7 linked regions of the Ovis aries genome follow. The main gene of each other region encodes a partner of the protein of the gene in region 7 in a complex. Links are inferred from orthologs where the notes say so. Each region holds a gene or a part of one and is shown on either strand. Other genes may lie near its edges. The genes, in order: HDAC1, MTA1, MTA2, MTA3, CHD4, HDAC2 and CDK2AP1.

Region 1 (4,180 bases), on a different chromosome or scaffold from region 7:
AAGAGGCATAAAAATGTATCTTATTGACTGTAGAACCATAAGTAACTTACTTGGCACACAGTAAGCACTCACCAAATATTAATATTGTTGTAGTTGCCTCTTTAATAGCCCACCACAGTGCTTTTCAGCCTTTAGCTTTCAATAATGATTGACTGATTGATCTAGTGCAGTGGTTCTCAAGGATTGGGTTGGGGGCACTTTTATACTTCCTCCAATCCTCTCCTCCTTGCCCTGGAGACATTTTGCCATGTCTAAGTACAATTTTTGTTGTCACAGCTGCAGAGGGCTGGGGGAGTGCTACTGGCATCTAAGAGTAGTGGACAAAGTGAAAATGTTAGTCACTCAGTCGTGTCCCACTCTTTGGGACCCCATGGACTGTAGCCCGCCAGGCTCCTCTGTCCATGGAATTCTCCAGTATCCTTATACCGGAGTGGGTAGCCATTCCTTTCTCCAGGGAATCTTCTCCACTCAGGGACTGAACCTGTGTCTCCAGCATTGTAGGCAGATTCTTTACTGTCTGAGCCACTAGGGAAGCCCACAGTGCACAGGATGGCCCCCCACAACATATTTGTGTATTATCCAAAATGTTAACAGCTTCAGTATCTTTAGAAACTCTGCTCTGGTGTAAGCAACAGTTTCCTCCCATCTAAAGGCACTCCTTAGGCCGCCTAGGAATTGCATCAGGAGTAAGAAAGGACTGCATTTGAAAAGAAAGACCGCATTTGGAATAAGAAAGGCTGGGTTCTGCCACTTTGATATGTGCTTCTGGAGTCGAGTAAGCGTTTTAAAAAATCTGTGGTTGAAAACTGAACGTGATTATTGTGTGACTCCCAGGAAGTCACAAAGTTCTCAACTTCGTTATCCTTGTCTGTAAAATGCGGATGAAAGGCCCCACTCCAAAGCCGCCAATAGGAACAACAGAGATGACCGAGATAATGTCGGTAAAGCTATGGCACAGTCCTTCGTCTACAGCAGTTTCCTGTCGTTTGTCAATTTATATTTCTCCCCCTCCAAACTTAACTGAGTGACCTTGCGCAAGTCACTTTCCATCGTAGGCCTCTGTCAAATGAAAGTTGGCCTCTGATCGCCAAGCAGTCTCCCAAAACGGAATGGGACACCCAAGTTAGCAGACCCACTTTCTTCCCCCGGGACGAATGGTACGATCCCGGGGCAGCCCCACCCCCCCCTGTCGCGGACCTTGGTACAGGCCCAGGGGGCCCTCCGAGGCCTCGCCGGGCTGCCCTTGCCCCCCGCCGAGTTCCGGGCCGTCCCAGCGCCGCTGATTGGCTGGAGTCGTGCCCGGGCTGCGCGGCTATAGGTGAGCCCGGGCGGGGATGGGCGGAGCACGCTGGAGGCCCGCCCCCTCCCCGCGGGTCGGACGCTGAGCGGAGCCACCGGCGGGAGGGCGGACGGACCGATTGACGGGAGGGACGGGAGGCGAGCAAGATGGCGCAGACTCAGGGCACCAAGAGGAAAGTCTGTTACTATTACGACGGTGAGCACAGTCCTCGCGCCGGGGGCGGGGCCGGGCCCGAGCCGGGCGGGATCCGGGAGAGGGAGCCGAGGAGGTCTGAGGGGGGAGGCTGAGGCGTTTGGGAAAGGCTGAGGGAGGAGGCTGAGAGAAGGAGGCTGAGGCTGAGAGAAGGAGGTCGAGGCTGAGGGCAGAGGCTTGAAAAGGTTGGGGTTGAGGGAGGAGGCTAAGAGGAAAGGAGGTGGAGCTTGAGGGAGAAGGCTGAGGGGAAGGGGGTCGAGGCTTAGAGGGGAGGCGGGGGCGGGGGGGGGGTCCGAGGTCAGGAGGGTCGCCTGGGGAAGCGTGAGGTCACCTTGGTGGGGAATTCTGAAGTCTGATGTGGAGTTTGCGGCGGCCTCCTAGAGAGGAGGCTGAGTCCGAGGCAGGAGGCAGAATCTGGTGAAGAAGATTGCCGGGTGACATGTTCTGCTGAGAATCCTAAGATCTCTCACTGCCCCTTTCCTTCCTCATCTCTTCTGGTGAGAGGCCTGCAGGACTCAGCACCTAGAGGTCACCAGCTCCCCTCCCCCTGTCTCCCAGCGGGCCCTGCGGTTGCTGCTGGGAAATGGGACTCCTGGGGTTGGAAGAAGAAGGATGCAACTTGTTAAAACAAACTTTTTCGTTGAACAGAAATCTGTGGAGCAGCAGCTTCTTCTGTTCTAGGTATCGTTTAGGGGCTGAGGCCAGGGGATGATCTTGCCACCTTCCTTTCACTCAGTCTGGAGGAGCATATAGACCATGACAGAAAATTTGCTCTACACTATCAGGTTGGGAGGAAGGACAGCTCAGAGTTTGCTGGGAGCACAGCGAAGTATCTGCCCAGCCTGAGAAGTCAGGCAAGGAGGTGCCATCTCAGTTAGGACCTGAAAAGCAGGAGTTACTAACTAGGCCCAGGAAGGATAAAAATAACAACAAGTTGAGAGGTAAGAGAGAGGCGAGCACCTTTGAAAAATGGCTGGATGTACAGTATGTTGGAGACATAAATTTGAAGGCACAGTGTTAGAAGGTGTAGAGCAGGGGTGAGAAAAGGGTTGCAAGTGATGAGGCTAGAGAAGTAAATGGGGACCAGATCACGAAAGGCTGGGCACACCACCCTAAGAAAGTTGGATTATATTCACAAGTTGGGCATTGGTGAATCACTGAAGTATTCAGGTTAGTGACATCATCAGATTTATTGTACCTTAGAACTATCACTCTGGGACAGAAGTTAAACGCATGAATGGAGAAGTAAGGAAAAAGGCAAGGATACCCAAGTATCTAGTTTGGGCAGTTTCATGCTGAATGTAGAAGGCCATTCCAGTTGATAATGTTGGGTTTTGTTTTTTAAAGAAACATTTGTTGAGATGTCTGGGGGATATCCCAAGTAGAGGTGTCCAGTAGGCAGTGGCCATTCAGGTCTGCAGTTTAGAAGACAAATGAGAAAATAGAAAATTTTGATGATTGTCAGCATATATACATACAGCTGATAATTTTAGTTACAGAAGAGGATGCAGTTACCCTTGTATCCCATATAAGAAGTTGTATAGGGTGAAAAGAGAAGAGGGTCCAGGGTGGGATTCTAAGGAGGTGGACTGAGAAAAAGTCGAGTGTTCTTCATGCTCTGTACTCCCTGGTGTGTAGAGTACATTTGTGCATTAGTCACTGTGTATTGGAATTGCCCATTTACTTATTCATACTTCTTACAGACAGTGAACTCCTTAGGGAAAAGGATCATGTTTTGTCTACCTTTGTATACTCAGGCCCCCAAAACAGTGCCTAGCTCGTAGTAGATTCTCAAAAAATACTGTTCATAAAGTGAATAAAGATACAGAGGGAATGACTTGAGATGTAAGTGAACCAGAAAGTGTTGGGTTACAGTAGCCGAAAGAGGGAGGGAGTGGCCAAGTGTCGGCAAGAACTGTTTCCTGTGCAGCATTTAGAACTGAAGTTAAATTGCTGTAGACTGAAGGGTTGAGTGAAGAGGAGGCATTAGATTGAACTTTTTTAAAAATCATACCACTCTGTGTGTAGGGTCTTTGTTCCCAAACCAGGGATTGAACCTGTGCCCCCTGCAGTGGAAGCACGGAGTCTTAACCACTGGACCACCAACGAAGTCCCTTTAAAAGGAAGCTTGTTGAGACAGAGAGAGGCTTGTTAATAAAGAAGAGATGTAGTGGCTGAGAGTTAAGTATGTGCAAATTTTTATGGAAATTAGGGAGAGGTTGAAGATACTGGGGAGAGGGGCTAGTAACGATGGAGGTCCCTGAGGAGAGATCAGGTCAGATGGAAACCAGAGCACACGTAGGGACACCCCTCTTTCAAGAGGCAGTTCCTTTGGGATGAGAGGTTAAGTGGCAAGAAAAAACATGTTTGAAGGAGAGAAGATGGAAAGCGGAGGGGGCTTTTAGGATGAAGTAAGAAAATATTCCTTTTCGTGAGAGTTGGGGAGGGCAGTTGGGTAGAATAGGCATCTTGAAGAGAGATAGCTGTTATGAAAGAGGGAGCAGGTAAAAACATTTGAAGCCTTGCTGGGCAGTGGTGAGGGCCCATTTGAAGCTGGAGTCTGTGACTTCATAGCTTTATCAGTTTGCACAGTTTTGTGATCTCCACATTCTCAGTTTAAAAAGAGAAAAAGTGGAAAGACCTCCATCTTTAGAGAAGGGTGATCTCTTCCTTTCTGAGAAACTACTT
Region 2 (3,500 bases), on a different chromosome or scaffold from region 7:
CGCACTCTGCCGGGAGGAGCCCTGATGGGGAGCAAGGGGAGCGCGGTGCCCGGGCCCGGGGTGGTGTGGGCGGGCGGCAGCTGTGGAATGCTCTTTGCCGTCACTGGTTCTGCTTAAGAATCCGTCTATTTTCAACTTTGTTGTCCGTAGCCACCCAGTCTTACCAGTGGTATTCTTGGGGTCCCCCTAACATGCAGTGTCGCCTCTGCGCATCTTGTTGGACATATTGGAAGAAATATGGTGGCTTGAAAATGCCAACCCGGTTAGATGGAGAGAGGCCGGGACCCAACCGCAGTAACATGGTAAGCCCCGCCCCGCGCCCCGCCCCGCCCGCCCGCGCGCCCGCCCCTGCGGCCCGGCCCGCGGTCATGGCGCTGTGTCGGGGCGGCGCGCCCCCTTCCGCAGAGCCCCCACGGCATCCCGGCGCGGAGCAGCGGGAGCCCCAAGTTCGCGATGAAGACGCGACAGGCTTTCTACCTGCACACCACCAAGCTCACGCGCATCGCCCGGCGCCTGTGCCGCGAGATCCTGCGCCCCTGGCGCGCCGCCCGCCACCCCTACACGCCCATCAACGGCGCGGCCATCAAGGCCGAGTGTGAGTGTGCCCGGGGCGGGCGGGGTGGGGTGCTGCCGGCGGGCGCGCGCACTGACCCTGGCGCCCTCCCGCAGGCACGGCTCGGCTGCCGGAAGCCTCCCAGAGCCCGCTGGTGCTGAAGCAGGCCACGCGGAAGCCCTTGGAGGCCGTGCTGCGGTTCCTCGGTGAGCCCGCCCGCAGGGTCCTGTGAGGATTCGGAGTGGTCTTCCCCATGCTGTGCCCTCCTGGGTGGGCTCTGGCCTGGGTGGGAGGCGTGCCCCCCAGGAGGGACGCAGAGGGGCGGCCTGGGGCCTCGAGCATCCCGCTTGTCCGTGGCCCTCCGCTCTGCTGCGCTGGGCTAGGATTCGGTCCCTCCCCCTGTGCCCAAGTTCCCTTGGGAAAGACGCTCGGAGCTGGCGGGCCCCCGGGAGACACAGGCGGCTGTGGCCCCTCCTGCTATCTGGGCTCTGGCCTCTGAGAGCCGCTGAGGGCTGGGGCACTTGGTAGGTGTAGGCCTGCGCCTCCTGGAGCCGGTCTGGTGACCTGTCCATGGTCAGCTGATGGAGACCCTAGTTTATCATCTGGCCAGTGGCCAGCCTGGGCTGTCAGCTTTGTGGCCGCTAAGGGGACCTGCTCATTTGTGGGGATCTGGAGCCTGTGTGCTGGTTGGTGGTCGCCGGTGGGCCCGTCGGCTGGACCAAGGGGTCTAGCCCCAGCCTCTGTCGCTGCCCTCAGGGTGCCCAGGGCGCCACACTGGCGTGCCTACCGGGCCTGGGCTGCCCACACACTCCCGGGTGGTGGGGCTGCCGCTGAGGAGCAGCCTGTGCCCACTTGCCTGTGTTGGCCCTGCAGAGACGCACCCCCGCCCCCCCAAGCCCGACCCAGTGAAGAGTGTGTCTGGTGTGCTCAGCGGCCTGACCCCTGCCAAGTCGGCCCCTGTCATCAACAACGGCTCCCCCACCATCCTGGGCAAGAGGAGCTACGAGCAGCACAACGGGGTCGACGGTGAGTCCGGGGGGTCTCGGGCTCGGCCGGCGTGGCTGTGGGCCTGGGGTGCCCGGCGCCCGCCGCGCCCGCGCCTGCTGACCGTGTGTTCTCTCCTCTCTCCTGCCGCCGGGCGCTGCCAGGCAACGTGAAGAAGCGCCTCTTGATGCCCAGTAGGGGTAAGGCCCGGCCCTCCGCACCTGCCTGTGTGCTGTGCTCACGTGTGTGTGGCGGATGGCTCAGGGCAGTCCACGCGGGCTGGGCCGCGCCCCTAACCCGGCGCCCACCTGTCACTCGGCAGAGACCTTGGGGCTGCCCCTGCCCCCACCCGGGCGCCCCAGCTCGCGAAATGCCCTTCCGTCCGGGCCCAGCGCCGGTCAGTGGACTGTCCTCTGTCGGGCGGCCGTGGCGCCCCTGCCGCCCGCCCGCATGCCGTCAGCCTCAGCTCACGTGGCCGCCCGCCCTGTGCTTGTGACCTTGCCTGCGCCTTGCCTGGTGGGGGGCTGTGGGACCCTAGCCCCTCGGGCGCCGACGGGACAGAGCTGTGGTGTGGCTGGCATGGCTGGGTGGGGGTCTGTGAGGCCCAGGGAAGGCCCAGGCCGGGGCCCCACGGGGAGGTGCACCCGGGGCTGAGACTGTGGGCCCTGTCCCAAGTGGGGGGCTCGTGCCGGGGCGTGAGGCCACCACAGGGCTCCCCTGCTGTTGGGCGCAGCTGGCACTGGCTTCCGGAGTGTGGCTCCCTCGCCCACCCAGTGGTCCCGGGCTGCTCTAGTAGGGGTCACCACGGTGCCAGCGAGGAGCGTTTCAGCCTTGTGGGGGCCAGTGCCCCCGACAGTCAGCCTGTGGCAGGACCAGTGAGGGGGAGGTGAACGGAACCAACAGAAGGGGAACTTAGGGGGATGCACTCAGAGCTCCTCCCGCCAGCCCCTCCCAGCAGCAAGGTCCGGCCTGGCGTGGACACCCCCACGCTGCATCATGGGCAGCCAGCATGGACGTGGCCGGAGCCTTCCCCCAGTCTCAGGACTGGAGACCTGCCGGCCCAGGAGGCTGGCCCAGGCTTGGTTCTTGGATCTCTGGGAGGTGGTGGGAGGCAGTGGCTATCTGGCCCAGCCTGGTCCCCTGGACATGCCCATCTCAGTGTGTCCAGGAGCCCGGCAGGCACCTGCTGAGGGTCAGCTGGTGGCACTGAGGTCGGGTCCTCTCACTCCATCCAGACACAGGCTCTTCCCGCCCCAGGCCCCCTGCTGCCTTGCCCACGACCCCTTGGGGAGCCAGCTCACTTGAGCCTTGCCCCCTTGCTGACCTCCCCCTTCCCCTGGAGCCATCCTTGGGTGTTCTCACAGTCCCTGGTCTCAACAGAGTGGCTGGTCCACTCGGCTGCCCACATCCCACAGGAGGGGAAGCGGGTCTTATCAACAGGGCTTGGGGCTTAGGGCTTGACTTGTAAAGAGCTCTTGATAGCAGTGGGATAAACTCTATTCACTTCCGTCAGTTTTTCCAAAATCCACGTGTTCCCGTAGCTACTTCAGCGCCAGCCCTGGATCCCGGGCGGGCGTCAGGGGCTGCACTCAGGCTCACTGGGGTGCTGTGTGGCGGCCGGAGCAGCGGCAGATGTCAGGACCGGCTCTAGGCCAGGGCCCTGACCCCAGGGGGCCTTAACTCCCTAAGCTGGCCCTCTGTGGCCTGTGGCTGCCTCCGCCCCAGGGCCCCGTGTGTACGTCCCCCACGCTAACTGTGTGCTTTCTTCTCTCTGCCACCCGTCCCTCTGGTAGGCACCTACCTGGGTAAGTAGCACACAGCCCTGAGCGCTGTGTGTAGCTGTGCACACCCGTGGACAGCTCGTGAGCGCTGCAGGCTGGCTGCCGGGGCCCCTGCCCCTGCCTGCTGGGGTTGCGGCTACCCCAAGTTAGGAGGTGCTGCAAATGGGGGCTGGACAGCTATT
Region 3 (3,941 bases), on a different chromosome or scaffold from region 7:
CCGGGCTGCCTGAGCTAGGGGGGAAATGGTGCAGCTCTGGACCGCGGGTGGGGGCGGGGAGGTCGGGCTGAGGCCGGCTGCTGTGACAGGCGTGTGGCCAGATGGCTCGGATGGAACTGACATCAACTCCCTGTGCCGCTCCCACAACGAGCGCGTCGTGGCCGTTGCCGACGACTTCTGCAAAGTGCACCTCTTCCAGTACCCGTGCGCGCACGCCAAGGTGAGGCCTCCCGGGGCCTCCGGGGTGGGGCGGGCGGCCGGAGCTCCTCGGCCGCTGCAGCTCCATCTTCTCTCCTGCCCAGGCGCCGAGCCTCGTGTACGGTGGTCACGGCAGCCACGTGACCAGCGTCCGGTTCACGCACGACGACTCGCACCTCATCTCGCTGGGCGGCAAGGACGCCAGCATCTTCCAGTGGCGAGTGTTGGGCGCTGGGGGCACGGGGCCGGTGCCCACCACGCCCTCTCGAACCCCCTCCCTGTCCCCTGCCTCCTCTCTTGACGTCTGACCCCTGCCGGACTGGACCCACCGGCCCTGCAGTGTGGCCCTGCCCCCACCCACCCAAATTCCCCAGGACCGAGGTGACCCTGTCCTCGACTTCGAGACATTCCCAAAAGTGCATTTCCTTGGAGGGGGCGAACGGCACCCCTGCACACACTGTATAGACCCGCTGGCTGAGCCGGGCAGCCCCAGCCTGGGCCCTGACTCCCGCTGCCTGCTGAGGGGCAATAAACCAAAAGCAAAGTCGCCTCCCGGTCCTTTTGTGGGGCGCGGCTGGGCGCCTCGGGGCTTTATGGGGGCGGGGAGGAAGGCAAAGGGGAATGCGGAAAAGGTGAGGGAGGGTGGACTTTTTATGCAAATAACAGGCGAAGCCTCTTGCAAATAACTGCGAGGCTCAAAGGCCCTTCGAGTTTTTCGCGGCCGCTGGTGGAGCTGCAAGACTCCGGCTAGCAGAGAGTTAAGCCCAACTCCTCTCCCCGCCCTCGGAGGCGGGGCCGAGCCGCAACGGAAATAGCCGAGTGCCGGGCCGCGGTTGGCCGGAGGGAGCCGAACTTCTTCCGGAAGTAGCCGAGCTTTGCGGGCTTGCTCTCCGACCGGAGCCGAGTGCTGGGCCTTGTTCTCCGGATCCGCCGAAGGTGTTCCGGAAGGAGGCGAACCCCGAGGCGGGCCGGCAAGTCTTCGCGGCGGCCCTCAGAGTCCAACGTCTGGTGGGACTCGGCGAGGGCGGAGGTAGTTGCAGCCTGCCTCCGGTCCGGCGGGATCCGAGCTCGTTCCGGAAGAAGCCGAGCGGACCGGCGCCGGTCTCGGCGTCCCGGGCGTGAGGCTATAGAGGCGGCGGCGACAGCGCGGGCCGGGATGAGCCGCGACGGCTGAGGCTGCGGAGGCGCCGGCTGCGCGGGCCCGACTGAGACTTCTGCGAAGCGCCGGCCCCGCGCTCAGGGCTTCGCTTCGAGTCCTGCCCTCGGGAGCCTTCCGGACCCCTTTGTGCGGCCGGAGGCGGCGGCGGCGGCGGCGGGAACGGCCATGGCGGCCAACATGTACCGAGTGGGGGGTGAGTACCGGGTGTTAGGGGCTTCGGGACTCGGGGCGGGAGAGGCTCGGCTCCCAGCGGCGCGGGGACCCGCGTCTGGGGCGGCGTGGTCCAGAGCGCGGACCGGAACCGGAACCGGGAGCATGGGGAGCGAGGGCGCGGGGATCGCGACGCGCCCGGGCTCCGAGACTCCCGGGGAGGCTGCGGGCGGCCCGACGGCACTCTCAGGGCAGCGTCTGGGCCGCCGGGGTCGTGGAGTGGGCTTGCGAAAGTGGTTCCAAAGGGGCTGACAGGGCAGGCAGGGGGCGCGAAGGGCCGGCGCAACTGCTTGGCCACCAACGGGGGAGCGGCCGGGAGGTTTCCTTTTCCCAGGCGTTATTGTGCGCCTCGGTTCACAAAGGTGGGGGCCCTGTACAGGGATGAGCAATTGCTCTCCTGAACGAGACCGGGATGCAACTCCATCGCTGAGTTGTGGGGACTGCTGAGCAGGGGAACCCCCTGCTTCTCTTGTCTCCTCCTTAAGGCTCACTTTTGAGCGGAGGATCTGATTTAATAACTGGGTGATTAGGGGGTGGAACGTCCGTCCATTATTTTCTGCTAGTCTGTACACTTCCACATTTCTGCGTCCTCTCTACCTAGACCCTTATCTCCTTTTGGTCTACTCAGGCCTCCTTTCGCTCCTCCCACTCTGGTGCTGGACTCTCCCATCTACTCCTCTGATCTTCCCGGTTCTTCCCCCACCCCCTCCTACAGATTACGTCTATTTTGAGAACTCCTCCAGCAATCCTTACCTGGTTAGAAGGATTGAAGAGCTCAACAAGGTGAGTAGAGCAGAGGCCCGCCACTCCCCCCCTACCCAGCAACCTCCGTCTTCTTTTTTCAGAGATCTGTAACTTCAGGTGAATGAGAGACAAGCGATAACAGAAACCCTGTCCTAAGTACCCATGCATATTCATTCATTCATTTCTTCCACGCTTTCAGGAAAGGCTATTAAGAGTTTAGTGGGAACTTTACTGTTCTGTTTTTTGGGGGGCTGAGGAAAGGGATTTGGAAGTCTGTCCTTAAATGTGAATCTCTTGATTCATAATTTGAGTTTTTCTTACATCCTTTAGAAACTTGTTCACTGATGTTAGTCTCTTCTTTATGCATTTCCACTTTCAAATGATTAGTTTTCACCACCGTTTTTTCTCTCCTTAGACTGCAAATGGAAACGTGGAGGCAAAGGTTGTGTGCCTTTTCCGGCGAAGGGACATTTCGAGTAGCCTCAACAGCCTGGCTGATAGTAATGCCAGTGAGTGTCTTTGTCCCCACCCCCGGTTTCCCTGTCTCCCCCTGCCCATGATCTGAAGCCTGGGCATGTCCCTGCAGGTGTTCTCTTGTAGCATGCCCAAGGCAGGGGTGTGAGTTTGGGGGTGGGAAGTGCCTGGTCTGCAGAGGGAGGCCTGTTTTTACATGTTGGGTTAGAAGCAAGGTGGAGAGGCCATGATAAGGAAAGCCAGAATTTGGCTTGTGTGTGAGTGTGTATTTTTGAATCTGCCTTTGTGAATGGTGTATGTTAAAGAGATGATAGTATGTAAATCGGGGATGAGGAAGCACTTTAGAGAAGCAGATCTCTAGGGGGACAGTTTCGGTTGTGTTGGGATGATAGGTGGTGACTGCGAAGGTCAGGTGAAGAGAAGAGACTGGACTGAGAAGCCTGCATAATAGGAAGGCAGGTTTTTGGTGTGATCATGAGGTGGTAAGACTACACTGATGGGAGAAAATAGGAAGCCAGGAACATTTTCTTGCGCTTTTTCTCTATTCTCACATAGCCTAGGACTCACCTAGCCCTGGACTCCATTTTACATCTTTCCCTTTTCTTTTCAGCCTATCCTGCTTCTCTTGATGCTTTCATCTTTTTAGATACACAGCTTTCTGTTTTCTTATAGTTTCTTTTTCCTTTCCTGCTTTGGCTTTCTTTCCCCTTTCTCTTGTTCTTCCTTTCTAAATTATTTTCCTTATTTTGGGCTTCTTTGAGCATTGGGCGTGAAGGGGTTAAGGAGGACCTGGGCCGACCAAGTTCTCTGGCTCTCTGGGGTTTCCAACCCTGTCTGGCAGGGGCTGACCTTGGTCTTGTCCAATCGGAAAGGCTGTGGGGGGTGTGGTCCCCCTTGCCTTAGCACAGGGTTTCCGGAGCACACAGGCAAGGGGTGGAGCCTACTGCACACCCCTGCCCCCCCCTTCTCCTTGAGGTTGGGAACAATGCACCAATGAGCCTGGGCCTGTGGCTCTTCTGCCCCCTCCCTGTTTGGTTGGCACCCAACCAAGTTAACCCTTTCCACTAAGGTTTCAGGGCAAGTTGCAGCTCCTTGGGGAATAAGGTGTTGGCACTGGCTTGAGAGGTACTGTCCTTGAGAGCCCCCAAAACAAACT
Region 4 (3,984 bases), on a different chromosome or scaffold from region 7:
GAAGGGGCGGCCTCCGCACGGCCGGGTCGCGTCTCGTCCCGGCCCAGCGCGCCAGGCTCCTCGGCGGTGTAGAAGGTGTAGGTATCGGACATGCGGTCGTCGAGGCGGCGCTGGCAGCAGTACTCTAGGTGCGCGCCCTCCAGGCCCCAATAGATCATCTCGTTGTAGAAGGAGAGTTCGCACATCCGCGGCGCGAAGCGCAGCTTGCCGTGGCCTCGGACATAGAGAAGGATGAAGCCGAAGGCCTCCGAGTGCCGGTCGAAGAAGTACTCGTTGCGCTCGTGGTCATAGTCGTCGCACACCTCCAGCACGTCGCGCTCCGAGCGGCAGCCGTGCAGCCGGCTCACGCGCCGCAGCGGGAAGTCCTTCAGCAGCTCCCGGGACAGCGAGTACCGGGCGCCGCCCACGTTCAGCACCACCGAGGCCGCCCCGCTGCGCCCGAAGGTCATGGCTGGCTGCCCCGAAGCCCCCCAAGCCCGGGGGCGCCGCCGCCGCCCCCTCCGGCCGCCGCGCGGGGCCTGCCTGCGGATGGCGGAAGGGGGAGCGCGCCGTCGGGGCCCGCGGGCTGTCCGGCCGGCTCTCCCTCCGGGCTCCGCTGCTGCCCTTGGCTGGCCCGGGGGCCCCTGGCTCTAGCCTTCTCGGCAGCCCAGCGCAGCTGCTAGCGACGCTCCCTCCGCACGGCGGTCCCTGCAGGTGGCCGGGGAGTCCCCCTCAGGCGCCAGCGCTGCGCCCCACTGGCCGAGAAAGAGGCTGCCAGCGCCGCCGCCCCTCGCGCCTGAGGGATGCTCCCTCCGAGGCCGGGGTGCCCTTTCAAGGCGGCGGCGCTGTTCCCCCCCGCCCCGGGGGCGTGCGCGCCGAGAGGAAGCGAGGGCGCTGGATGGCTCCGGGTCCCCGGCGCTCCCTCTGGCCACGGCTCCGGCAAGCGCCCCACCGCCGTCCAGAGGCAAGAGGCAAAGTGAGCGGGTTCGGAGGCGGCAGAGAGCCGGCCCCGAGAGGCGGGGGCGGGGCCTCCTCGCGGTTACCCCTCCTTGCCTCCTGGCTCCGCTCCGCTCACCTCCCTCCGCGCGCCGCCCTCCTCTTCCCACCCGAGCCCGCACCTCGCTCGGGCTGGGATTCCCCGGCGCCCCGCCCTGGACCTCGGGCTCCCCGCCTCGTGACGCCGTCCTCCCCCTCCGCTCTCGCCTGCAGTGGCCGGGAGGGGTCCGCAGAGCAGGGATGCGCCGAGCTTGGAGCCCCGAGTGGAAGGGGCAGAAAAGCCCCGCGCCTGGGGATCTCAGTTCCCGCGTCCCTCCCCGGACCATCGGGATGACTTGGGGAGTCCCCAAGAGCCCTTTTAACGGCCCCCCAAAAGGAGGCTGCAGGAGGGTAAGGAGGAGTGAGGACTGGGGTGCAGGATTTGAGGGGCGGGGACAGACGGCTCTGGGAGAGCTTTTTCCAGAAACTCTCCGGAGCCCAGCTAGGTTTCTGAGACCGCCCCACAGAATTTCTCAAGAGAAGGCACCCCAGCAATTCTTTTCTTGCCGACTTTGTTCCTTCCTCTCCCGGCGCGGAGACCCACGTACCGCGTGCTCCGAAGGCGGCCACACATCCCAGCACCCAGCTTCCGTGCCGCCTCTCTCGGAGGGGAGCGGCTCCAGCCCCCGCTTTCTGGGGCACCGGTCCTAAGAGAGCGCCTAAGCTTAGCGCCCCTGGACCCCCTCGTGACGCTCCCTGTAGAGTGGGATGAAAGTCTGGGGAGAATTGTCTTGCCACTGGCAAGAACAGAATTTTGCCTGATCTTTGTCTGCATCCTCCTTTTCATGTCTTAATTTCTCCTGTGCACCTCCGAGCCGGCTGCAGCACCGGCCCTCGAGCTTGAAGAGCCCTTTCAGGCTCTGCGAAGGGTACTTCCCTGGGCACTGCTCGATGCCCTGGGAGTGGGCTCCACTGGGCAGGGATTATTTTAAACTGCTCCAAGCAATTCACACGACCTCCGGCACAGGCAGCCCTGCTCGCGCAGTACCCGCCAGAGGCGAAACAGGTGAGTTGTAAGGCTAACTGTTAAATGCAAAACATACGAAAAGAAAAATTAAGAGTGTGGTGGGGTGAGGTGGGATGCGGTGATCTGGCTTCAGAGTACACCAGCTGGTTACTGGGAAGGGTTTTACTTTGCCCTTCACTTTTCATAATTGTGTAGGGTTATCTAGTGCCCACTAGAGGTCACCAGAAAGAGTCGTGTTGCTCTGATTCTAGTGTGGATTCTTAGCGAAAAAGCAGACACCTAAAAATTGGAGTGCTCACAAAGTAAAATCATTTTGGGTGGTTTTTTGTGCCCTATTTTTTTAAATTGAAGCATACTTGATTTTTAATGTTCCAGGTGTACAGCGAAGTGATTCAGATATATAGAGATAAATATGTAGAGACACTATATACAATTTTCCAGTTTTTTTCCATTAAAAGTATTTTCAAGATATTGAATATAGTTCCTTGTTGGGTGATTTCTTAAAGAATGCAAATCTCTATAAATTTTTTATATCTAGACTTGATAATTTATCTTAAAAGCATTTAATGTAACTAAAAACTCAAAAATGGGAGTTGTTTACTTGCTAAGCTGCTACTAAACTAGAAAAACATCCTGAAGGAAATGTTTCAAGACAGAATCAAAAGAAGTGATGGCCATGAACTGGCAGAGAGAAAGAGCAGAGCATGTCTAATAGCAAAATCACAGGTGTGGAGGATTAAAGCCTGAAAGAAAGCTAATGCATCGGTTGGCTGAACGCATGGGGATCTCCACTACCAGAAGTCAGCTTTCATCCAGGAAGCTAATGGGATCCCTGAAGGTTTTAAGAATAGAACTGACTTGATCTCAGGAAAAGTCATTTGCCCCTTAGGTTGTTCTAAGGAGGAGGCACTTCTGCAGCCAAGAAGTGGGAACCCCACCCCTGAATCTCTGTAGACAAGAAAGGGTTCATTTCTGAGAAACCCTGAAACCAAGGACTCAGCACAGCTTGGAAATGGATTTGTTCTAGAATATGAGGATGAAGAAAAGTTTGCTGCTGCTAGTGGAGTGAAGAGCCTGGCTTCACACCAGCAAGAGCCGATTCCTCAGGGAGTCGTTAAAAATACTTTCTAGAAGCTGTACAGGCAACAGAACACAGAACAACTATTTTGTTGATTATTTGCTTCAACATTACTATATTTATTTCCTATGTTCTCTATCTAAAATCCCTTTAAAGTCTGTTGATAGGACCAGTCAAAGAAATATCATATTTTAAATTACATTTGAGCTTAGAAAACCAATTAATTTGATGACAGTATAATTTGTGTCTCCTAGGTATACTTTCATGAAATATCTTAGAGAGATAGGTTTAAATCACTTCATTTGTTTCAAGAGTAATATTCTTATTTGATTTTAATATCGTCAACTGCTACTGCAGCAACAATAACCCAAGTCATTTTCTTAAACAAAGAAAACAATAAGATGCAGAAATGATTGGCTTGTCTCAATATAATCTGGTTTAAAAAGCATTCTTAAAAACAATTTTATTCCTCTGTACTTGAAAAAATATGTTAAGATTTGATATTGTTGTTGAGAATTATTACATTTAAATTCTTCTCTGGATTCTAGATGATATTTAGGGTCTTCATATGTAAATCTTTAGACTGCATCGGGCATCAGGCAGAATTTTAGAGTTTGAAAGAGATTTTCTTGTGTCGATTTATAAGCCCATTATTTGGGGAGGAGGAACAAGGCTTCAGAGATGTGGCTATAATTTGCCCAAGGTTCCCCAACCAGCAGCATCACGGTGGAGACACAGCTGGAGCCACAGTTTCTAGTTCCAAACCCTAAACCCTCGGTCTCCAGGGCCTGCATTGCTGCCACAGCTTCCTGTCTGATCTCTGCACTCCAGTTCTTCCCTCCATCTGTGAATCCTATATCATGCCACTGAACAGCTCTTCCTTTTCTTCATTTTCATCAAGTCATTCCCCAGTTCAAGAATCAAA
Region 5 (4,090 bases), on a different chromosome or scaffold from region 7:
CTGTACTGTCCCTGTCCCCAGTCAACTACATCTCTAAGAGTCACCATCAAAGCTGGAAGTGGAGACTGGGACAATTCACATAGGCAAAGGGGACCCCCTTCCATCCACAGAAGACCCTCCAACTTCTCAGGCAGATGTGCTGACCTGCCAAGAGGCAAACTGGCTGATATAGAGGAAGATTTGGGAGAGGGGCAGGAATGGGGTGTGGCAAGTGGAAAAACTGGGTCACACTACAGCTTGGGGCAGAGTTCACCCTGGGAGCCCACACAGTTCCCAGTCAACACAGGGGCAGCCCCAGCCCGAGGGGCCAATGGGAAACCCAGATGTGGAGCCAGCACTGGCGGGACGACACTGCTGCTTCTCATGCCCCCCACAGAAAGGATAGGATCCTCTCAGCACTATCACCCTCCCCCACATCCTGGGCCATAGCACAGAAATCTGCCACTGTGCCCTCCACGGTGACAGGATTCAAGCCTCAGTTTCTGATCCCAGCAGCTGAAGACTCAACAAGAACACTGACCCTCTCTCCTAAGTGTACCTGAGTGGAAGGGGAGACTTCCAACTAAGAAAGCGCCAAATGTGGAACCATCTTTCCCAGACCACCTCAACTTGCAGCTGGAGCTAAGGAGAGAGAAGGCAAAAGGGAAAGATGTTTGCTGGGAAACAAAAACAGAGCCAGCAGGATCCCAACTTAATATATACAAAGAAAATGAAGAAATAGCACGTAAACAAAAAGATGAAGAAAACAAATAGGTGACTTAGCTAGATGCTCTGAAGAAAAGACAGAGAAAACAGAGATCCACTTTAGAAACATAACAACAATCATCATCTGAGAATAGACAAGAGTCATTCCAACCAGGCAGGGTGGTTAAAACAATTCGGGTTTGGCCAGTCCAAGGAGCCACCCCAAATCACAGACAGCACAACCCCCAACACACCTACACAAACACTTCACACCACCAGCCCAAACCCTAGGCTACCTGAGCAGGGCAGAGCCTTCTGGGAAAACAGCCAGGATTAAACCGACTTGCCAGAGAAAGAGGGGTGCCCAGGGTATCACCTCCCTTCTTTCTGCCCCTCCCAATGTATCCTGCAGGCTATGACATTCTACCCCAGCCCCACTCTTAACATTCCAGCAATCTGCCTGACTAAAAGCGCTCTAGATCCCAACTGAGGAGCGCAATTCAAACTTCACACAGTTGAAACTGCACAGAAAGCCGGTAACTGATCAGAAGCTAAAAATAAATCAGAGAGTAACCCGCACTCCCTCTTTCTTTTCCACAGCAGCAACCACAAGATCCTGCTAACAGAGATGCTCTGACGGTCTTCTCCAAGAGCAATCCTCAACCCCCTCACAGCCGCTGCCGCCGCGCCCAGCCTCCAGGGGTCCCAGGCACCTGCAGTCCTTCGGGAACCCACACCAGGCAAAGCCTACCAGCCCCGAGAGCTCCCTCGACCGGGATCCGCAGAGCGTTCCCAAAGACAGTGCAGCAAGCTTGCACCGCGGTCCGCGGAGCCCAGGAGGCACATGGCTTCCACCCCCCTCGCGCCGGAGCTCCGCAGAAGGGAACCACTCCCTGCGGATGCCCTCTACCTCAGGCTGCATGGTGGGAGCCCAAAAACTCAACCCTGCCTCTCCACAGTCACTAGGGAGGGCCCAGATGGCTCCTTCCTGCCCGGGGGCCCTGGGGGAAGGTGTTACCTGGGTGGGGTGGGGGCAGACTGTTGTTCAAAAGTGCATCCATGTCGTCCTCCTCGCTGCCCGCGGAGCAGGGGGACGGGGAGCCCAGGCCCGACGCCATCCCCTTCCGCTCCCGGCCAGGGAATTGGCCCAGCTGCTCCTGCCTGCGGCCTGGGGCCCTCGACACTGGCCCGAGTCACTGTGCGGGGGAGGGGGGAGAGAAAGAGAACAGTCAGTGACGCGCACGGCCCCCTCCCCCACCCCGCCGCGCTTTCCGCCCACCCCGGCCCCCCCTCAGCCACCCGAGCAGGGCACCCGAACCACTCAGGCTGAACTTAGTTCCACACTCCCGGGGGCGGCCCGGAAGCTGGCTCCCCGACTGGAGCCCCCCAGAGAGAGCGGCGCCCCCGAGAGCAGGCCGGTGCCGGCGTGGGGAGGGGAGAGGCCGCTGGACGGAGCCGGGCGTGACGGGGGATGGGGTCCGAGTGGCCGCAACTCGGGGGGGGGGGGGCCGGGGGAGGCGGCTGGCGGCGAGGCGCTCGGGGACACAAGGTCACTTGGGGGTGGGGGGGGGCGCCTCCCTGCGCCTGGGGAGGGGCCAGTCCCCAGACAGGGCAGCTCTCCAAAGGCTGTCCTCTGGGACAACTCGGGCTCTCCAGAGGAGCGGCGGGGACGAGGGGGCGTGGAGGCTCGGCGCTCCGGGGGACTGGAGGCGGGGGCGTGGGGGGCCGGCACTCCCACCGGGCAGGGGGCCGAGCCACGTGTCCCGGGGGGCAAGTGAGCTGAGGGCGAGGGGGGCGCCGGGCATTGTGGGAGGCCGAGTACGAGATGGGAGTCGCTGAGAGCGAGACTCGGGTCGGGCGAGGGCGGGGGCTGGGCGCACTGCCGGGCAGGGAGAGGCAGGGTCGGCTCCCGGGGCAGGGGGCGGTCCGCGGGTCCGGGGACGCCCGAGGAGCAACTGGGTGAAGGAAAGACCCTCGGGGCTGGTCGGGCTGAGAGGGGCGTCTCTCTAGGAACCCTGAGCTCTCCTCACCCCGGAGCCGCCGCAGGTCGCGCTGGGTCCGGCCCGGTGTCACTCCCGCTCCGGCTCCTCCTCGCCGCGGCCGAAGGGGGGAAAATGGCTCCGGCTCCGGCGTCGCCTCTTAAAGGGCCCGAAACACCGGCCGGGAAATCCCACCGCACAGGCCCCGCCCCCCCAAGGACAGCCCATAATAACCTCAACCAACTCCAACCCCCCCTCCACTACCGCCACCCTCCTCCTTAGGTCTCCCGGGCAACCCCCGCCCCCTCGTCGCTCCGGCAACCATTGGCCACGCCCCCTTCGAGAGCGCGCGCGCGTGTCACCCGGGCAACCACCCACCTCCTGGCCATCCCATAATACACACGGACACCACCCCCCCACCACCACTACCACCCCACGCACACACACACCATACACATACATGCCAGGGTTGTTGACATCTCATGATATTGCAGACCTTTTGCAACTAACCCTTTATCCCCACCCCCCGACATCCCATAATAGCTATCCTTTGCCAACTTCTTCACTCTTGGCCCTAACGCTAACATCCCATAATAATTCGTCACCTCTCCCTTCCCATGGCCATCCCATAATAAGCACCCGTCCCAGCCCTTCAGCCTCACATCCCATAATACTCATCCCCATCCCCCACAGACATCCCATAATAACCACTCTTCATCCACCCCCAGTTTGATATCCCATAATAGTCAGAAACTCACCCCCCCCCCATCAACGGACACTTCGGCCTCCTCCCACACACATCCCGTAATAATCAGTCTCCCACTTTCAGTACTGACATCCCATAATAACCCAACCCCTGGCGCTGCCCTCAGCCCCTGCAGGCTAGATCCTCACAACTCGACCCCCAGACTTCACACATTCATTCTAGTTCCACAGCCCTTAATAACCACTCCTCCCCATCAGAGAGATATCCCATAATGATCAACAGCCATACCGTCACCCCACAGATGGACAACTAATCTCCTTTCCTCTAACACTGGAAAGATATCCCATCATTTCACTCCCCCACCCACACACTGACAGCCCATAATAATTGCAAAGAACTCGTGGTCAACCAGACATACCATAATACTCCCAGCACAACCCAGAGTCACATCCCATAATGCTTCACCTCCACTACACTACCCCTATACCTTTTCAGCCAGACATCCCATAATATTCATACTCATACCTCCTCCATCTCCAAGGCTGTCAGTCTATTCTAACACCCACACCAGAGAGGGTGAAGCGGGCTACCCACATTACCCTGTCCCCGCCCCAACCTGTACACACCTTCATCCCTTAATGAGCCAAAGCAGTGTCCTGGCACAAAGCCTCTTGATGTATGAGATAGACCCTCGCTTTCCTCATCCATCATTTCCAGACAC
Region 6 (4,106 bases), on a different chromosome or scaffold from region 7:
TTTTTTTGATAGGGATGGGAGAGAATGTGTATCTGGGGAAATGTATAAATGGTAAATGGGCTTCCCAGAGGGCTCAATGGTAAAGAATTCACCTGCCAATGTAGGAGACCGGAGTTCCAACCCCGGATCAGGAAGATTCCCCTTGAAGAGGAAATGGCAACCTGCTCCTCTCGGAGGGGGGCACAGTCCACGGGATCGCAGAGTCAGACAGGGCTGAGTGACTGAGTCTGCACTTATAAACAATAAATGGTATATGGGAATAAGAGCATCCCCCACCCCCACCCCAATCACCTACAAGGTGGGTGGCTGAAAAGGCTCCATGTTTGATGACTTATTGAACACAGGGGCAAAGGTATTTATAACGTCCAAAAGTTCTGAAAGTCCTTTCTCTGAACTTTATGCTGCCATCTTCCAGTGCCCAGCCAGCAGAAGCAGTCATAATGGAGTAGCTAGGATGTGTGGACTTTAGAGAAAGGCTGAAATCAAACCCCAGACCATCAACCTTGGAGAGGACCAAGTGCGTTATAAAGTCCATTTATAAAGAAGAACTAGAAACAATACTTAACGTCCCAGCTTACTCCCAGTTGTTGGGAGTCTCAATCGAGTTAACACATATAAATGAAATACATAATAAATTACTTAGAACCCTAACACATACATGCATGCCATAACTGCCTATTTAAAGTCAGGCAGTACTCTCTGCTCTTTAATGTCTGCAATAGGTCCCCTTAATAGGGGGGACCTCTTCCGAGGTCAAAACCTCCTCTCAGCGATTATCAGTAGAAAATGAAAAAAATAAATGAAATGCACGACGACCCAGTACAGGGGGCGTGGGTTGCAGCTCGGCGGGTTCAAGAAGGTCGAAGCGGTGGGATAGTGGTCTCTCTGCGCCCGGCTCAGAGCACGTGGTCCGCCCCGGCGGGAGCTTCGCGACAGAGGGGGAGGGGAGCAGCGTGGGACTTCGCGGAGGGGGTCCAGGCGGCCCGGGCTACGGTTGGGGAGGCGCCGACTGCGCAGGCTCAGGATAGGCACAACCACTGCGCAAAGATCCGAAGGGGGGAAGCTTGCACCCGGCTCCATGCTCCCTTTACCTACCTAATCTAAAAGCGAAAGCCTGCTCTTTAAAAAAGAAATCCTTTTACGACTGTATAGGGTAGCCGTCCTGTGCAAGTCGCTCATCATAAGAAAGCCTCTTTTCCCAAATTGAAGAAGCCTCTTGCCCCCTCCTCCCCCGTGGAGTCGCAGTGGACCCGCCCCACCTCCCCTCGGCCTCCGGAGGTAGTTTGGCGCCCCCCTCCCCCTCCCCAGTGTCGCGAGTTGGCGCCGCTGCCACCCCCTGGTCCGCGCTCTCGGCCCTTCGGCCGGGCGGTACCCAGCCCTCCCGGCTCCCCCCCTCCTCTCCTCCCTCCGGCCTGCCCTTCCCCGCGGGACTGCCACCCTCCACCTTCGCCCCAGCCTTCTCTCCCCGCCGGAGCCGCGGAGGCAGCAGTAGCAGCAGCAGCAAGAGGAGGAGCCGGAGGCGGCGGTGGCCGGGGAGCCCATGGCGTACAGTCAAGGAGGCGGCAAGAAGAAAGTCTGCTACTACTATGATGGTGAGACGCCGGGCAGGCGGGAGGGTGGGCGGCCCAGGGCTGTGGCGCCGGGCCCGGAGCCGCATCGGCTCTGCGGCCGCCGTCGCGAGTTGTCGCGCCGGGTGCTGAGGGGTCAGGAGGAGGGACCGACTTTTGGCAGCATCTTAACCCATTCCCGACCCGACGCCGTCCGGCAGCCTCCTCGGGGGGCTAAACGGACGCCCCACTTTCCCTCCGGCCCCTCTCGCTCCGGCAGTGCGGTCCGCCGCCGGCCTGCCTTGGCTTGGTGCTGGTGCGAAGGGGACGGCCCTTCCTCGCGCCTGTCCCGCCCGCCGCTCGTGGGAGGGAGGTTTTGGGGGTCCCCTGCTCCGGCCGCCTGCACCCTATTTCTTCTCGCGGGCCGAAACAGCTACCCCGGCCCAGACTGCACACAAAGCCCCACGGCCCCGAGAGCTCCGCCCCTCCAGCCCCCAACCCTCCCCTCCCCGCCTCTTCCCTCCTCTGTGTCCCCGGCTGGCTCGAGCGTCTCCTCCTTTTCTCTGCCGCCGGCCTCACCCTGGACCCCTCGACCGGGTTGGGTGCTGGAGAGTAGCCCCTGAGGGTGGGGGCCCACGTCCACCTGGAGGCTCGTTCGCACCCTTGTTTTGCGTGGGCTCCATCCCTTTCCTTTGTTTGCCGGGTTCTCTGAGCGCCACTTTCTCAGCACTTAAATGAAAGGGCTTCACTTCCTCAATAAATAATGAGGGTTTTCGAGTTTGAGGTAGTCAGTCTTCACGGGAAATGCGACGGTGGTGGGGCAGCGTGTTGTCGCTCGTGTTGTAGATCAGCCTCAATGGGTCCTGGCTTGCCTCTCTGAGAGGCGGTTACCACCCACTTCTTTGTTGCTCTTTGTTCGATCAGGAAATACACCCTGCTTTGGAGGTGTAGGACCGATAGGTTTGGCATCTGGCTTGCGAAAGCTGTTTCTAGGTGGTGGGAGTCCTGGTGTTGGAAAACTTTGAGGAGTACGGCAGAAAGTACTAAATAATCAGATAAGCTTGAGCTCATGGAACAGTAAATTATAAAAATCTAATTATTTCGTTTTAGAGGTCCTGACTTCATTTGCAATTTGAGCAGTAAGTCTTTTTGAATCCCGTTTCCTGTGCTAGTCTAAATTAAACTAAAAGAAGTTGTTACCTTTTTTATAGTTTGCACGAAGATATTAACTTGGTAAATGGTTCCTAGTTAGGTTACTCTCCAGAGAAGAAATTCTAAAATTTAACAAAGAAGCTAGGTTCAGGGACCTGAAAGTCCATCTGATTTGTGTGAAGCAATAAAAATTTTGGAAGCTGTTTCCTACATTCAATGTATCATAAATCGTAAAATCATAGACTGATGGAAAGATCTTAGAGGACTAGGTCAGAATAAATCTAGACTTTAATTTTAAAATGGCCATATCATATCTCTTCAGTTAGCAAGCATGAATCATTTTCATGCCTGTTTATATAAAATAACCACCTGTGTAATTTGTGGAACAATCTAAAATCTTACAGAAGAAATCTAAGTGTTAAATATTAACAGCCATGTTTTTAAAATATTTTTTGAGAAGACTGCATGTATATGTGATACAAATTGATTTGAAATTATGCCATCATGAAGGGGTGGAGATGGGAGGAGATTTTAATTTTAATGTAAATTGCTGAAGTTCCTTCGAGTTAATTTTTTAAGAGTTCATGCATATTTTGGGTCACTGGCCTTGACTTGGGTTCCATGACCAAATTGAAAAGTAAATAACCATGTGTGTAACTTAATTTTTAAAATTATATTGTTTCTAAGGTTTAGAGATGTGTTAGCAGGGCTTGGGGTAGAGAAGAAGGGTTTTAAAAGGTTAGGGTAACTGGTACTAAGGCTCTGCCTGCAGCTGTTAGTTGCTGTTGACAGTGATAGACTCTGATGAAATGAGCTGCTTGAAACTTCTTGTCACCAGGCTTGAACTGCAGAACCAGAAGGTACACTTAAGTAGCAGTTTTATCAACAGCTATTCTTTTCCTGGGCCCATTTACAATGAGCCTTCATTGAGGGGATGGGAGCAAGTATTGATCCCAAGAGCAGGATGCAGACTTGATAGGAAGAGTAATCTTTGTGATTTAGTCAATAGTTTATAGTGGACCATTCAGCTGCTTCATCTGATGGCCAACAGCAGGTGTATAATTGAATGTTTAGATGTCTCTGGTTAGGTTATCTGTCTTTTGTCTATGGCTCTTCCTTGACTAATTTTTAGAATGGAATATGTAATTGCTTACATTGGGAATATGCTCTGGGTTCTTTTTGTGGGGGTGGGCTAATAAAATATTTTGCACAGGTTATTAAAATGAATAGGTATCATTATGCTAATTCTTTGTAGGTGATAGTATGTTAAGCTGTGGATAGTTAATTCCAAAAGCTTAGATTTTCATCACCAGGAAAACCCTATTTTGTCAGCTTATAAGGATAGTGATAGTAGTTTTTTTTTTTTCAATTGTGAGGAAAGAGCTTGTGCATCAGAGAACTGACTCT
Region 7 (4,256 bases):
GGGTTAGTTCCTGAGAGAGGGAGAAGGAATGGGTTGCAGGCGTGGAAGCAGTGTGGAGAAGTCAGGCAAGAGCCCAGAGCTTGATTTGCCTGTCACCTGGGTGATGTGGTAGTCGACCCGACTCTGAGCCAGTCCTTTGCTCAGTGTTCAGAGGGGGGTGCCTGTGGCCCTGGGAAGAGTTGGCGCAGGGACCCCAAGTTCCACTCATGCCCACAGCTTCCTGCAGACACAGGGAGGGCCGGCGGTCCAGCTGCCCAAGGCCAAGGAGAAAACCAGACAGGGCGTGAGCACGGTCGTCTCAGAGCATCGCAGACAATGCGCGCAGTGTGCGGGGACCAGGGAGGGCCCTGAGCCGAGGGAGGGATTGGCAAAGGCCAGCAGCTCCTGGGGCCAGGCGCGGCTCCCCGCCCCCACGCCAGACAAAGAGCGGCCCGGGCCTGGGGAGCTGGCGGCCTTCCCGCCACTTGGGGCGCCTGGGGGGGCTCTCTGGCGGGGAGGCGGGGGCTTTGTCTAACTCCGCCACTGCCACCGCCGGCCAGGCCGCGGCTTGGCAACTCGCGAGCAGGAGGCAGGGCTGGAGGGCGTGAGGGATGATGACAAGGAAGCCGGAGGAGCGGCAGTGGAGAGTCCATCTTGGATGCAAATGGCTCAGGGAGATGCGGGCTTTCTAAAGGGGTCCACGCTCAGGGCAGGGGGCAGGTGGCCCCTCACCCGAACACCAGAGATCTGGAGACCTCAGCGCTCCTCCTGGAGTTCACCACAGGAGAAGGAAGACAATCTGGGCACAGGTGCTAGCCAGCCCAGAGCAGGGCTTCAGGGTGCCTAAGCGGGTGGCTTGCTCCCTCTGGGACCCCAGTCCCCAAAGGGCCAGGTTCAGGGTCCCTGCCTCAACTGCACCAGGGGAACCTGAGACTTCCTGCCCACCTGGGCCGGCGGCAAGACCCTCCACCCATCCCACCCCAGAGTCAGATGAGGGAGGCAGTGAGAAACATTGGCCACAAAGCCTGCCTCTTAAGGTGTGCAGACCCGAGAGATGAGAACATTTCAGCTGAAAATAGGGGCCGTTTGCTCTTGGGGCTCAGACAGAGCCCACACTTGACCAACTAAACTATCTACCCCCACAGCCATCCACACCCTGAATCTTAACCCTTTCCAATCCCCAAATCTCTGTCCAAGAAGTTAAACACACACACACATATATACACCTACGTATAGGTATATACGTACATGGACATACACTTAGTGCTTTTCTGGGGCGCCCTTCAGATTTTGGAGTTATCGAGTTAACATTAGAAGACAAGGCCCAAAACTTTCGGCCAACTGCCAGCGTGGCACTTCTGACCAGGGAGGCCCATTTCCTTCCTGCCAAGCCCCTGCCTCCACCCCTACCCCCATGCACCTCGCTTTTTTGGAAGTTTCCCACCAAGAGTCTAAAGGAGAACCTCGGTGAGAGGGGGCAGTCAGTCACCTACGAACCCCACAAAATTTTACCACCAGCCACACACATCCCGCGTGCCCCCTTGCCACACACACACCCCGCCCCCGCCCCGGTCTCTGAGGCAAGACCCCCAGACTCAGCCTAAAGCTTCCGGACAACTTATGCAGGAGTTTTCTGGGACCGCCCAGCTTCAGCCCCAGCACACGGAGAGCACTGCTCCTGGAGGAGGCCCCTCTAAACCTAGACTTGGGGGCTCCAAGCCGGGACCCCGGCTCAATGCCTCCCCCGCCCTCCGCCTGCAGGCAACTCCGAAGCCCCCGGTCTTCTTCAACTTCTCTCACTTCGCGCACGCCTGAGGGGACCTCCCGTGCGCCCCGTTTTGGGCACCTGCTCCCCCACGCCAGGCCGGGCGGGCGTCCACAGACCACCTCCCCTGCACCGCCGGTGACCCCAGCGGCCCCGCGCCCTCGGGAGCGGCTGCAACCTGGCGCTCTCGCCGCCCCGCAGCGCCGCCTGCGCGTGGCCCGGCCTTGCTCACGTGCACCCCTGCCTCCCGGACCCCCCGCCCGGGCCTGCCCCTCAGGTCCCCAAGGGCGGACCCGCGCCCCGCTCCCGGCGCCCCGCTCCCGGCGCCCCGCTCCCGGCGCGACCGGGCCGCTCCCGATTCCCGCCGGCAGGGGCCCTCGCCGAGCCGCCCAAAAGCCGGAGGAAAAAGGAGCCGAGAAAGCCTCCCCCGCCCTCGCTCGCCGCGCTCCCCACAAGCCGGGGCCGCCGGCGTGGGGGGGACCGCGGCGGCCGCCCGCGACCCGGGCCCCAGCCCCGGCCCGACCCGAGGCCCGGCGCGGCGCGGGTCGCACCCGCGAACTTTGGCAGCGCGCGCGCCGGAATCATGGCGGCGGCGGCCGCGCTGCCCCGGGCCGGGACCCGGTGCCCGCCGACCCCGGCCGCCGCGGGCTCCCGGGAGCCGGGGCCGGGGCCGGGCGCGCGAGCCCCCAACTTGGCTGCACTTGGGGCGCGGCGCGCGCAGCCCGCGAGGCGCACTCACTCACCGGCGTTGAGGGAGGCGGCAGGCATGTGCGCGGTCAAGTTCGGTTTGTAAGACATCCCCCCGAGCGGCGGGGCGCGCCGGGGCGCAGCGGGGCCCGGCCCGCGAGGGCGGCGGCGGCGGCGAGACCCGGCGGCGGCGAGGCGGTCCTGGCGTCCGTGCGCCCGTCCGTGCGCCCGCCGAGCTCCCGCGCACTTTTTGTTGTTGACGGCTCGGGCCGCACCGGCAAATATGGCCGTCCCTCACCCTGACACCCGCTGCAGTATATCACCCATACATCGGGCGGGCGCGCGGGCGCAGGGGCGGCCGCAAACTTTGAGCGGAGCCAGCGGGGCCGGCCGGGGCCGGGAGGGGGCGGCCCGGCGCGCCGCGGCCGGGCGTCAGGGGGCGGTGCCGCCCGCGGCCGCGCCCCGCGCCTCCGGGCGCACTCGGCGCCCGCAACTTGGCAAAGTTTGGGGGGCTGGGGTCCCGGCAGTGCCCGAGGCCCACCTGGGTCCCCTTCTTCTGCTGCGCTGGCGATGCCTGGAGATTTGTTGCTGTACCGATTCATTTTTTCTTTTTTTTTTTTTTTCTCTAAAGCTAGGTAGGATTGCGGAATTACTTTTTCGCCCCCCCCCCTCCTTGACTGTGGGGGCAGGGATGGAAAATTACCTGGAGAAAATGGTGGCGAGTGGTATTTTTAAGCACGTAGATCATTCCAGACGCCGAGGTCTGCCTTCTCCCCAGAATAAGATCAACCAATTCTTGACATTGATTTCAAATAAATTTCACGTCCCTGTCGGTATTAAGTGGTTGTTAACCCCTTGGCGGCCTAGACTCCTTTGACACTGGACAAAAGCCAAAGGCCTCCTCCCGCGAAAAACACACCGTCTCATCCACCTAATTTTGCATCTTAACTCGTTCAAATATTTAAAAAGCGCCTGCTGTGTGGCGAGCACTGTTCTAGGCGCTAAGACAAGAATAAACTTGACCAAGTTTCTTCTCTCCTGGAGATTACATTGCAATTTTTGACCCTCTTCCTACCCCACCACAGCCCACTTCTCAAATCTGACTGAATTGCAATCATGAAATTTATTTTACATCAGATGATGAAGCTTTTGAAGGTATTATTTCTTGGAGTTCTCCTTAAATAGTAAATCTTCTCAAAAGACACAAGATGCCCGCCCTTTTCTGCCATTTTTAATCGCCCTGCTTTGCAAATATCTTTTATTAGCTACAGACTTTCAGATACATCTGGATCTAGTGAGAATTCTTATTGCCCCAGAGGTAAAGGATACACCCATTCCCTCCCTCCTTCCTTTAGAAGTGAAGGTACAAGCGACACCCCTCTTCCCAGGATCGCTTGTGATCAGCTTTAGGCTGGTTCCGTCAAGGATGTTCAGCGAAGTGTTAGTTCGGGGGTAAATTAATATCATCCTTTTCCTACCCTGCTCTCAGGGGACCAATACTCTAGAGTAGCACTGTCCAATAGAAAAGTATTGCAAGCCACATATATATTTTAACAATTTAAATAATCACATTTCAAAAAGTAAAAACTGATGAAATTAATCTTTTTTATTTAACATGATTTAAATATATAACGTATTAAGTCAATATATAATAAATATAAAGCAATTATTAAGATACTTTACATTCTTTTTCTGATACTATATTCAAAACCCACCGGGTATTTTACCCTTACAGCTCATCCTGATTGGGACTGGTCACATTTCAACAGTTTGGTAGCCACAATAGCCAATGGTTTACTTATTGGACCAGTACAGGGCTAGAAGC

The links.
Region 1: CDK2AP1 (region 7) and HDAC1 share a complex: the UniProt entries of both Homo sapiens proteins name them as parts of the nucleosome remodeling and deacetylase (NuRD) repressor complex. The link is inferred for Ovis aries from reciprocal best matches to the Homo sapiens genes CDK2AP1 and HDAC1.
Region 2: CDK2AP1 (region 7) and MTA1 share a complex: the UniProt entries of both Homo sapiens proteins name them as parts of the nucleosome remodeling and deacetylase (NuRD) repressor complex. The link is inferred for Ovis aries from reciprocal best matches to the Homo sapiens genes CDK2AP1 and MTA1.
Region 3: CDK2AP1 (region 7) and MTA2 share a complex: the UniProt entries of both Homo sapiens proteins name them as parts of the nucleosome remodeling and deacetylase (NuRD) repressor complex. The link is inferred for Ovis aries from reciprocal best matches to the Homo sapiens genes CDK2AP1 and MTA2.
Region 4: CDK2AP1 (region 7) and MTA3 share a complex: the UniProt entries of both Homo sapiens proteins name them as parts of the nucleosome remodeling and deacetylase (NuRD) repressor complex. The link is inferred for Ovis aries from reciprocal best matches to the Homo sapiens genes CDK2AP1 and MTA3.
Region 5: CDK2AP1 (region 7) and CHD4 share a complex: the UniProt entries of both Homo sapiens proteins name them as parts of the nucleosome remodeling and deacetylase (NuRD) repressor complex. The link is inferred for Ovis aries from reciprocal best matches to the Homo sapiens genes CDK2AP1 and CHD4.
Region 6: CDK2AP1 (region 7) and HDAC2 share a complex: the UniProt entries of both Homo sapiens proteins name them as parts of the nucleosome remodeling and deacetylase (NuRD) repressor complex. The link is inferred for Ovis aries from reciprocal best matches to the Homo sapiens genes CDK2AP1 and HDAC2.

Annotation. Positions count from the first base shown.
Region 1 is NC_056055.1:235,260,698-235,264,877, reverse strand, and holds the start of HDAC1 (histone deacetylase 1), read left to right. Parts: upstream 1-1,380; 5' UTR 1,381-1,446; coding exon 1,447-1,495; intron 1,496-4,180. UniProt on the Homo sapiens protein: Histone deacetylase that catalyzes the deacetylation of lysine residues on the N-terminal part of the core histones (H2A, H2B, H3 and H4).
Region 2 is NC_056071.1:67,472,616-67,476,115, forward strand, and holds part of MTA1 (metastasis-associated protein MTA1), read left to right. Parts: intron 1-150; coding exon 151-302; intron 303-405; coding exon 406-595; intron 596-669; coding exon 670-759; intron 760-1,426; coding exon 1,427-1,579; intron 1,580-1,701; coding exon 1,702-1,737; intron 1,738-1,859; coding exon of another isoform or gene 1,860-2,191; exon of another isoform or gene 2,192-3,500. UniProt on the Homo sapiens protein: Transcriptional coregulator which can act as both a transcriptional corepressor and coactivator. Acts as a component of the histone deacetylase NuRD complex which participates in the remodeling of chromatin.
Region 3 is NC_056074.1:37,480,782-37,484,722, reverse strand, and holds the start of MTA2 (metastasis-associated protein MTA2), read left to right. Parts: upstream 1-1,141; 5' UTR 1,142-1,522; coding exon 1,523-1,550; intron 1,551-1,654; exon of another isoform or gene 1,655-1,929; intron 1,930-2,282; coding exon 2,283-2,350; intron 2,351-2,726; coding exon 2,727-2,820; intron 2,821-3,941. Other genes in the region: EML3 (echinoderm microtubule-associated protein-like 3), read left to right, coding at 90-220, 303-506. UniProt on the Homo sapiens protein: May function as a transcriptional coregulator. Acts as a component of the histone deacetylase NuRD complex which participates in the remodeling of chromatin.
Region 4 is NC_056056.1:81,607,382-81,611,365, reverse strand, and holds the start of MTA3 (metastasis-associated protein MTA3), read left to right. Parts: upstream 1-1,184; 5' UTR 1,185-1,905; coding exon 1,906-2,020; intron 2,021-3,984. Other genes in the region: KCNG3 (potassium voltage-gated channel subfamily G member 3), read right to left, coding at 1-449. UniProt on the Homo sapiens protein: Acts as a component of the histone deacetylase NuRD complex which participates in the remodeling of chromatin.
Region 5 is NC_056056.1:209,650,458-209,654,547, reverse strand, and holds the start of CHD4 (chromodomain-helicase-DNA-binding protein 4), read right to left. Parts: upstream 2,801-4,090; 5' UTR 2,715-2,800; intron 1,881-2,714; 5' UTR 1,803-1,880; coding exon 1,703-1,802; intron 1-1,702. UniProt on the Homo sapiens protein: ATP-dependent chromatin-remodeling factor that binds and distorts nucleosomal DNA. Acts as a component of the histone deacetylase NuRD complex which participates in the remodeling of chromatin.
Region 6 is NC_056061.1:23,732,599-23,736,704, forward strand, and holds the start of HDAC2 (histone deacetylase 2), read left to right. Parts: upstream 1-1,306; 5' UTR 1,307-1,540; coding exon 1,541-1,592; intron 1,593-4,106. UniProt on the Homo sapiens protein: Histone deacetylase that catalyzes the deacetylation of lysine residues on the N-terminal part of the core histones (H2A, H2B, H3 and H4).
Region 7 is NC_056070.1:52,346,530-52,350,785, reverse strand, and holds the start of CDK2AP1 (cyclin-dependent kinase 2-associated protein 1), read right to left. Parts: upstream 2,801-4,256; 5' UTR 2,543-2,800; coding exon 2,488-2,542; intron 1-2,487. UniProt on the Homo sapiens protein: Inhibitor of cyclin-dependent kinase CDK2. Also acts as a component of the histone deacetylase NuRD complex which participates in the remodeling of chromatin.